2 linked regions of the Mus musculus genome follow. The protein of the gene in region 1 interacts with the protein of each later gene in a pairwise test. Links are inferred from orthologs where the notes say so. Each region holds a gene or a part of one and is shown on either strand. Other genes may lie near its edges. The genes, in order: Nfya and Gtf2a1.

Evidence for each region.
Region 2: the proteins of Nfya (region 1) and Gtf2a1 interact in binary tests that used the Homo sapiens proteins (3 or more experiments, as listed by UniProt). The two-hybrid records come from large-scale screens. The link is inferred for Mus musculus from reciprocal best matches to the Homo sapiens genes NFYA and GTF2A1.

The regions. Positions count from the first base shown.
Region 1 is NC_000083.6:48,406,862-48,411,345, reverse strand, and holds the start of Nfya (nuclear transcription factor Y subunit alpha), read left to right. Parts: upstream 1-1,525; 5' UTR 1,526-1,720; intron 1,721-4,484. Other genes in the region: ADP-ribose glycohydrolase OARD1, read right to left, coding at 1-82, 442-480. UniProt on the Homo sapiens protein: Component of the sequence-specific heterotrimeric transcription factor (NF-Y) which specifically recognizes a 5'-CCAAT-3' box motif found in the promoters of its target genes.
Region 2 is NC_000078.6:91,586,592-91,590,955, reverse strand, and holds the start of Gtf2a1 (transcription initiation factor IIA subunit 1), read left to right. Parts: upstream 1-1,306; 5' UTR 1,307-1,391; coding exon 1,392-1,421; intron 1,422-4,154; coding exon 4,155-4,256; intron 4,257-4,364. UniProt on the Homo sapiens protein: TFIIA is a component of the transcription machinery of RNA polymerase II and plays an important role in transcriptional activation. TFIIA in a complex with TBP mediates transcriptional activity.

The sequences.
Region 1 (4,484 bases):
CCATTCGACAATCCTCACTGATACAATGGGCTAGAGAGTCTGTTTTGGGACATGCGAAAAGATCTCCTTTCACGTAAGTGATCTAAAACGTGCAAAGGAAAAAAAAAAAGGTTAAAAACAGAAAACTATTTCTCCTTTCAGATCTTCAACAGAGCCCCACCCCCACTGCTTCAACCCTGCTTCTCTGACACTCTGAATTAAAGACAACTCTTCCCAACTTAGGAGTTAACCACGATATTTTAAAGTATCTGTAAAAGGAAAGTGATGGATGGTTATTATCTGCCTAGGGTTGTATTAGCCTTTTCTAAGTAAATCAGCTAGAGAGAAACAAACAGGGAGGGGCGAGAATCCAATTATTGGTTTAATTAAAAAGTGTTTATGCTTTTGACCTCAATTATTCTGATTTTCACTTCACCGATAAATTTAATAGCTGTTACGCACTCGACTTCCTTCTGGATCTTCATTAAGGCGGGTGGCCATGCTACTGAGTCGCTATTTCCAGAATTTAAGAGTTCCTTCTGCTAATGAAAAGGAAAAGCAAGTAAAAAAATACCGCTCAGGCAGCCCGAACATAGCGTGTTCAGATCACCCTGACAACCCATTTAGTCTTCCCCACCTCCTTAAGGTATTCTTTCTGGATGTGAGCTCACTCAGCCTCTAAGAGGCAACACAAAACAGCTTTCCAGGAGCCGAAGCAAAGGCGGTCCTAAGACACACCTCCTTACTTCTAGCAGGGAAGGTTTAGGACAGTCCAGAATTTTCCCAGAGAATATAGCTTAGAACGGGAAAGACCTGGCCACAGTTACACTGAGCGGCAGGGTGAGCCGAGAACTGCTTCTCAGGGGAAGATCACCACCAGTCTTGGAGGTACAGGAAGGAAGGTCTGATAAGACTTCCCCGTCTCTCCTCCTACCCTAAGGAGGGCAACCCTGGGATCCCGCAGAAAAGTGGGTACTGGGGGGTCATCCTTCACCTGCAAAGGAATCGGCCGTCAGCAGGCCCTCCTCCAAGCAGGGAAGGGTTCGGGATGAAACCCTCGTAGGTAGGAAAGCAACAGAAGAGTCCCGACACGCAACAAATCCCGCCAAAGCCTTTTGATTGTACGCACACTCAAGATGGCCGCCCCCATCCCTTAACGGGGCGGAAGTGAGCCTCTCTAGCTGGGTAGCGGCGCCCGCTCTCGGTAGTAAGGGCTTCAGAATTTCCGGCGGGAAATTCCGTAGGCTCCCGCTACCGCTCAGGCATGCGTACCGAGATGCCGACCCCGACTGGAGAAGAAGAGCGCTTGCGCATTCGGCCCCAGAGGGTGGGTCCCAGTGGACGCTTAGAAATAGGTGGGCAGGGGGGCGTGTCAGCGCCTGCGTGGTATATAATTCAGGGAGGTGTTTAAGCAGCAGCGTACGGAGCGTGTGAAAGGCGCCTGCGTAGGCCTTTGGCGGGAGGCGGTGTCAAATCCAGGAAGTGGGTGTGGCCTCTGGAACGCCTGCGCGGTGCTCTTCCTAGGGGGCGGGGCCAGGCTGGCCGGGGTTATGGGGCGTGGTCTCGAAGGCGCTTGCGCGAAGGCGGTTGGAGGGAGGCCCGATTCCCCTTTGTTCAGATTCGCCATTTTGCGAGGCAGCGGCAGTGGCGGCGGCAGCGGCGGCTGGAGCCTCTGATTGGGTTTCGGGGTCCGGTACTGGAGCCAATCAGCGCGGGCAGCGAACCGGGGGAGCGAGGCACGGTGAGTATGAGGAGCCAATATCCAGCGGCCCAGAGCCGGCCCCAGCGCCCCGATTGGCGGGTCTCGCTGACCACTCAGGAGAGGCCCAGGCGTCCGTCGAGCCCGGGAGTCGAGCCGAGGCTGCCCGAGCTGGGTAGCCAGTAGCCCCGGCTCGGAGTTGGTGGAGGCCTGCAGGGGCCGTCCAGCGTTGGGACGGCGTCCTGGAGCCAGGCTTTTCGGGATCTGGATCGTCTCCGGGGGCCGGTGGCGGATGCGCCACCGGTCCCCGATCCTCGGTCCCGAGAGGTCAGGTGGCTGACCGCCCAGCCACGGACCGTGGCGGTTTCCCCACGTCGTTCCAGCCTCATCCTACGGCCTGTCCTTGTGTGTCCCCACATTCCGGGCCCCGACGAGGCCCGTGTGTCCTGAGCTCTGCACAGTTGGGGCTACAGATCCGGAGCGAGGCCAGACTGAGACGCGCGGCGCGGCCTCCCAAGACCCACCCCGGGGCCGTTGGCGCGCCTGCCGCGCCCCTCCTCTCGGCCCGCCACCGGGGCTCCCGGGCCGGCGCCGTTACCACCCCTTTCTGGCTCGTCATTTCCTCCCCGCTCAGCCCGCGGTGCCGGCACACCTCCGTGCTGGAGCCCAACCAAGCACTCTTCCTCTTTTTGCTCAGTGTCTCGGTGTTTGAAACGCCGCTGTTGCAGAACTGATAACCCTTGTGCATCCTTAATGATTGGGGGCACACATCTCGCAGTTCCTATTATCCCTGTCTCCTCCCTTGATCTTTTCTCCCTTGGATGCTCTCTGGTTTTGTTTTCCTTTAATCTCTCCACTCAATAGCTCGGCCCACTCGTGTCTCTTTTTTCTAATACACCTTGAAATCCCGCGCGAACGTTTTCTCAACTGATGTTTTAAAACTTACACGTGCTTAGATTTTCTTTCCCCCTTCGGGGGACAGGAAGTCTTCCAAGGACTGCTAGCTATTAGTCTTTGGCGGACGTCACCCAAGTGCTGCAAGCGAGTAGGGCTAGGAGCTATGTCTGCTCGGTGGAGATTGACTGGTGTTAGTGTTTCATAGGGATCTGATCCAGTACCCAGAAGTGCACTTTACATGAGGAAGCCTATTTTCAGCGCCACGCTTTTGATTGGTGATGGAGGGTGATGTCCTCAGAGAGGAAAGACTGAAAAGAGTAACTGGAACAGATAGTGCGGTTGGACGCAGAAAGGCCGGGAGTACTGAGTTTAGGCGGGAAAGTCCAGTTGGTAAAAACCTTTGCAGGTCTTACAAAGGAATTTTTTGAAAACGGTTTTGACTGGAGGTTAAAAGTTAATCTAGAGTGGATTTCTCCCCTAACCTTGGGGGTGAAGGTTGCTGACCTGAGGATTCTACCCCATAGTCTTGTATTTGGACTGGGTGTTCTAACTTTGATTGGTATTTAAAAAAAAAAAATGGATGCATATGTCCACCTCAAAACTGCCAAATGTTTTTGTGGACAAAAGGCAGTTCTCCTCAGTCACTGTGACTCAGACCTGTGGAGCCTCCACTGGTTCCTCTGCATCTGCACTTTAAGAAAAAGTAGTGCAGACTCTCGATTTCTCTAATCTAATCACAGCCCAGGCATCTCCCTTTGTTTGAAATACTTCACCCTATACTACCTTCATCTGGGTGAGATCTCAGACTTAAACCTAACTCACATGACACCCTTTCCCAGTGCTTTCCTTGGTTTGTCCCCAGTGGAAAAGCCTCTGTCCCCCAAACTCCATTTACTGTATTTCCCTTTAGGAGTCTAATACACATTTTTGTTCCTTTTTAGACTTAAAAGCCTCTTTGAAGTTAACTTGTTTTGTTATTTAGTTCATGCTATCTCCTTAGTGGAGACAAGGAGCACACTGGAGCCTTCAAAGGCCCTAGCTGGGTGTGTGTGTGTGATGCCAGGTCAGATGGACTGCGGTGATCAGATGCTTATTGTAGGAGCATTTCTGGGCATTTCAGCTTTTGAAGATTCTAAGTGCTGGCCAGCTACTTCTGTGCCATGTAAATGGGCAGGAAATGCTATGGAAGAGAATGTCTCAGAGGCCAGAATAAACCCATTCTCATTCCTATTCATTCATATTCTCACTTTCAAAAACACATTCACAAGTCTGTAGAAGAGCTAGACAGACTAAATCCAGCTGGCTCAATTCTGTCATAAACTTGGGCACAGAAAGCGTAAGGAAAGGAAGTGTGTCAGGTTGTGTCACAGTTCTGCTGGCTGAGTTGATGGAGGAAGGAGCATATGGCCGCACTGGAGCCAAGAAGTCGGCACCATGGGCAACCTGAGGGTTGTGCTCCAAGCGCCACCACTCCCTTATCAATGCAGAATGGCTGCTGGGTTTGAAGCTGCCTCCAAAGCCCAGTAGGTTTCAATGGCCTAAGAGTGGAGCATTTGTATCAGCAAGATAACTGAGTCAACTCCAAATGTTCCTTACAGCTATTCCAGCCCTCTTGCCCACTTCAGGCTCCATTCTGCATTTAATCTGAGACGATGCAGACTTAGGACATTTAGCCAAGAAGAAAGTTTTATAGGAAAGCGTCTTGGGGCTAGTGGAAGCGGTAAAATACAGAGGTTGTTAATATCTTAAAAAAAAAAACTTTAAAATCTAATCCTTGTATATCTGTATTTTGGTGAGTTTTTAAAGCTCTCCACACCTGTACAGTCCCACTTGAAAAAAAGGGTGAGAACTTTGGTCATCCCCAAAATGGTCGTAGAGCTAGCTCATCTATTCAGTCTCTCCCACCTCC
Region 2 (4,364 bases), on another chromosome or scaffold:
TGTGGTTAGTCACTGTGTGCTGGCCAGTGTGCAAATCACAGCACTCTGGTAACATTAAAAACAGAGCAGTAATGTATGTCAGGGAGTCAAATATGTAGTAGTTGTATCCGAGTTCCTTTTCTTTTTTCGTCATTTCTACCACCCTAAGAAGTCATCTAAAGTACTTTTGAGTTGGTAGAGGCTGACTCTTTGGGGCATTTTAGCCAAACCACCTAATAGTTTAATTTTGTACAGACAAACGGCTGGAAACACCTACAGGCGTCCCTAATTCTGTAAAGTAGACAGAGGGAGAACAAAGCTTTCCTAGCCTTTGGACTTATACACAACTTCACGAGGTCTGTCCTTTGCAAGAGGCGCGAACTTCCTCCTCATCCGACCTAAGCTCACGAATCAAAAGATGACTCCGCATTTAAAAACTGTCCCAAGCCCCAGCGCGCGGGAGCCGGAAGCCGCGCCACGTGACCCGCCGTCCCTCCGCAGCCATCCTCCGGGGAAGCCTATCGCTTCGGCGGCTACTCCCACTCCTCCGCTCCACCGGAGCGGCTGCGCGTCCACCCGACGCAGCGCTAGGTACCCTTGATCGCTGGCTTCCCTCAATACCCCAGCCTCCTCCGGAGGACGCCTCCCGGTCCAACCGGTCGCCACCACCACCGCCACGGACCGCTTCCGCCAGGGTGCGGACCACGTGATCGCGCGAGCCATAGGGGGGTGGGGAAAAGGCCGCGGCGCGCGCCTTCTTTACTCCAGGCCCGCGGCCCCGCCCACCCGGCCACCCAGCCGGGGCGGGGGGGAGGGGGGGGAAAAGAAACCTGGCGACGCCCCGGGCGCGCGTGCGCACGCGGTTCTCGCGGTGTCTCGCGCTCGGCCCCGCCCCCCGCTGCCCCCGCCCTTTCCGCCCCTCCCTCCCTCCGCCCTGTCTCTCGGCGGCGGCGGCGGCGGCGGCTCGCGCAGCTCGTTGGCTCGCTATATAAAGGGGAGAAGCAGGCGGACCGGACGGCTGGAGCTGCAGCCGGTGGCGGCAGCGGTGGCGCGGGGAGCGGTGACCGGTGTTGGTTTCCCTCCTCGGCGCCGAGTGGGGAGCGGGTGACGCCCCCTAACCCCCTAAGGGGTCGTGGCTAATTTTTTCCCCCATTTTTTCTTTTTTCTTTAGGCGATTCTCGAGGTTTTTAGCTGCGGGAGGAGTGCCCCCCTCCTCCTGCTCTCCCGCCTCTTACTCCTTCTGGATCGGTTTTGTTGAGAGATTTTTTTTTTTTTGCCCCACTCTTGGCGGGTGACTTGGGTCACCCTCCGGGTCTCAGTTGTTTTTTTTTTTTTTTCTTTTTTTTTTTTTTTTTAAATTTTTTTTTCCTTTCTTTCTATCTCGTTCCCTCTTGTTTGTGTTGTGTGTGGAAATGGCGAACTCGGCAAACACAAACACCGTGGTAAGGACGTGGTGCGGTGGCCGGCGGGGGCTGCGAAGGTTCCGGCGGCAGGCAACGGCTGGCTGGGACGGACGGACGGACGGGCGGGCGGGCGGGGGCGGGCCCGGGCGAGGCGGCGCTCCCGACCGGGTCCCCTCCGCCCTCCACCGCCGCCGCTGCCCGCCGCGGGCCTGGCCGGGCGGGGGGGACGCCGAGGACTGGCGGGAGGAGGGCGGCGGGGGCCGGGAGCGCCGCGGGGCGGGCCACGCAGGCCGTTGGGGCCCTGGCTTGCCGACCCCGGGGCGCGGACGGGCGGGCGATGGCCCCACGCGGGGACCCGGACCCGGCCAGTCCCCGAGCGAGCGGCTGCGGGTCGAGCCCCGCGTCTGGGGAAGCCTCTCGGATACCGCCGAGGCCGGGCGTGCCTTCGGGGGCTCTCCGGAGGTGGTGCTTTGGGAGAGCCTCCTTTGGGGCCGATTTTACTAATCCTCCGAAAGGAAAGAAAGAAAGAAAAAAAAAAAGACAAAAAAATTATGAAGGTTGGAAAGCACTTATCTCGGTTCCTCCCCAGTGGGTAAAATGGCGAAGGGGAAGCAAAACCCCCGCGGTATCTTCGACTAGCCTAAGCACCAGAACAAACAAAGCCTACATGAATGGCCCAAGAGTCCCCGCTTTCGCCTCGAGATTTGCCTACTTCTTCCCGTTGCTCCCTTTTTTAAAAAGGAGCAAAAAAAAATTTTTTTTTGGTTACTTGCGATCACGTAGGTTTGCAAAAAGCAGTCACATAAAAATAACCTTTTAAAAGAGTCACCAACGCAATGTGATCACTAGGCCACCCCATCTCTTGATTTCTTTTTATGACAATAAAGCACAATATTTGTTTTTTTGTTTGTTTATTTTTAAAAAAAATTTTTTTTTTTCATTTTGCCCGGTCCCAAACGCCGCAGAGCAGCCTGCGGCTGCCCGACACTATACCGTTGGCGACTCGGGTCGATCCATCATGGCTGCGGCCGCTTACCCTGCTTTTCAGTGCCTGCGCCTTGTGGTCCTCCTCCCTTTGGCTGCCCTGTTTATATAGAGCCATTGCCGCTCTCTAATATAGACTCTGCCAGGATGGGAAGGTGCTTTTCAGGCCTACGTCACCGCCTCTCCATTTAAACACCAGATCCGGCTTTAAATAGTGAGAGCTGCTGAGCGCGGGGCTGGGAGGTGCGTGCTCCCGAGGCGAGAGGAGCCGGCGTGCGGAGCTCATTTTATTTCTAGGCTCCTTTCACGCCGAGATTTCGCTCCGGAGCCGGGAGGCTGTTGTCACGGACCCGAGTGTTTTGCTGTGGCCGCTAGAGTGTACTGCCTTTGTTTGTAGTGGGAAGTAGGCCAGAATTGCAGCCTCGTTTTGTTCTTTCTCCCTTCCCTTTATAAGAGTTTCATTTTAAATCGTTTTAGATCAGATAAAATGATTTCCTCCCCCCCACCCGCCCCCTTGGAGGAGATACGGTCAACATTCTCGGCTTAAAAAAAAAATGCGTTGTACATTAAATGTTTCCGGAGGAGGACTTGAGTTTGGTGGTGTGTTCTTAATACCCAAGGCATGAAGCTTTTCAAAGAAATAGTGACTGACTCTCCCCTGTGAGATCTGTGCTCACAATCTATTGCTTGATGTGTGTGTAGAGGCACAGCCTAAACTGAGCTTTAAGAATTAAAGATTAAGTGGTGGTTTTAATTTTACCAGTGGCTAGCATGGTATCTAGTATAAAAATCCACCTAGGTGACCTAATATTGTGCCTAAAAATTAGCATCTTCTAAAAGGAACCTTTATTAATCACTTGCTAATGCTACATGCAGTCTCTAATTCGCCAGTTTCAGAGTTTGGAATACTGTTTTAAAAGGACAGATCTAAATGACCTTGTATGCCATAAAGACAAAAGCCTGCTGCAGTGAAGTTTAGAATTTAGCATTTCCCTTTTTCCTTCAACAACGGCGCTTCTGAATGGGTTAAGTTGTAGGCTGGTTGCTGAATGATTAATTACATAGTAGCAGAGAAGGGCATTGCCTGCTTCAAGTGTTGGACTCTCCAAGGAAAGGGTTTTAGGGTAACTGATTTCAGAAACATTAAAACATCTGGTTTGCTGGAAATTGATCCTACTAATTTAAAATTACATGGCCAGTATAGAGTTTAGTGGTGTAGCCTGAAGGTAGACCAGGACAGGGAAAAAAACCAAGGTAGCTTTTGTATAATCAAACGCTGATAAGACTGCTGGGTATGACCAGGAGACGACTTGTGAACAAAAAGTTCCCCAACATCTAAGACCTGGAAAGGCTGTGAGATGGGACAGGCGTTAAATCAAGCAGGGCTAGTAGGAACCAGGAGTGACCATGAACTGTTATTAATCATGATGGTAGACATTTTGGTCACCATCAAGGAAATTACTGGAATTTGTGTTGACTGTGCATAAAGAACTTTGGTTTATGAACTACTTTGCCCAGCCTTACAGTTTTCTGTCATTGTCAAATTTAGTTTACAGTGTCTCAGTATATTGATCAGGCTGGCCTGGAACTCTGATATCCTCCTGTCTTTGCCTCCAGAGTGATAAGCCTGGCTTAGGATTGTAGTATCTTTAATTAAAGTCACAATTTAAAATAAATTTTAGATAGTTGGCCAAATGGCTTGTATTTAATAATTATTTAATTATTTCTCAAAGCCTACTATAACATTTTGAAATCAGTCTTTTATTGAATCTTATTTTTCCTTTAAAGCCTAAATTGTATAGATCTGTGATTGAAGATGTTATTAATGACGTACGAGACATTTTTCTGGATGACGGAGTGGATGAACAAGTCCTGATGGAACTAAAAACTGTGAGTTTGTCTCTTTTTAAAAGAATAGTTCAGTAATAAAGAACTTTTCTATAGGATGAATGTTTGACTTTAAGGAGAGACAGTATAGTGCAGTGAAGGGTATTGATT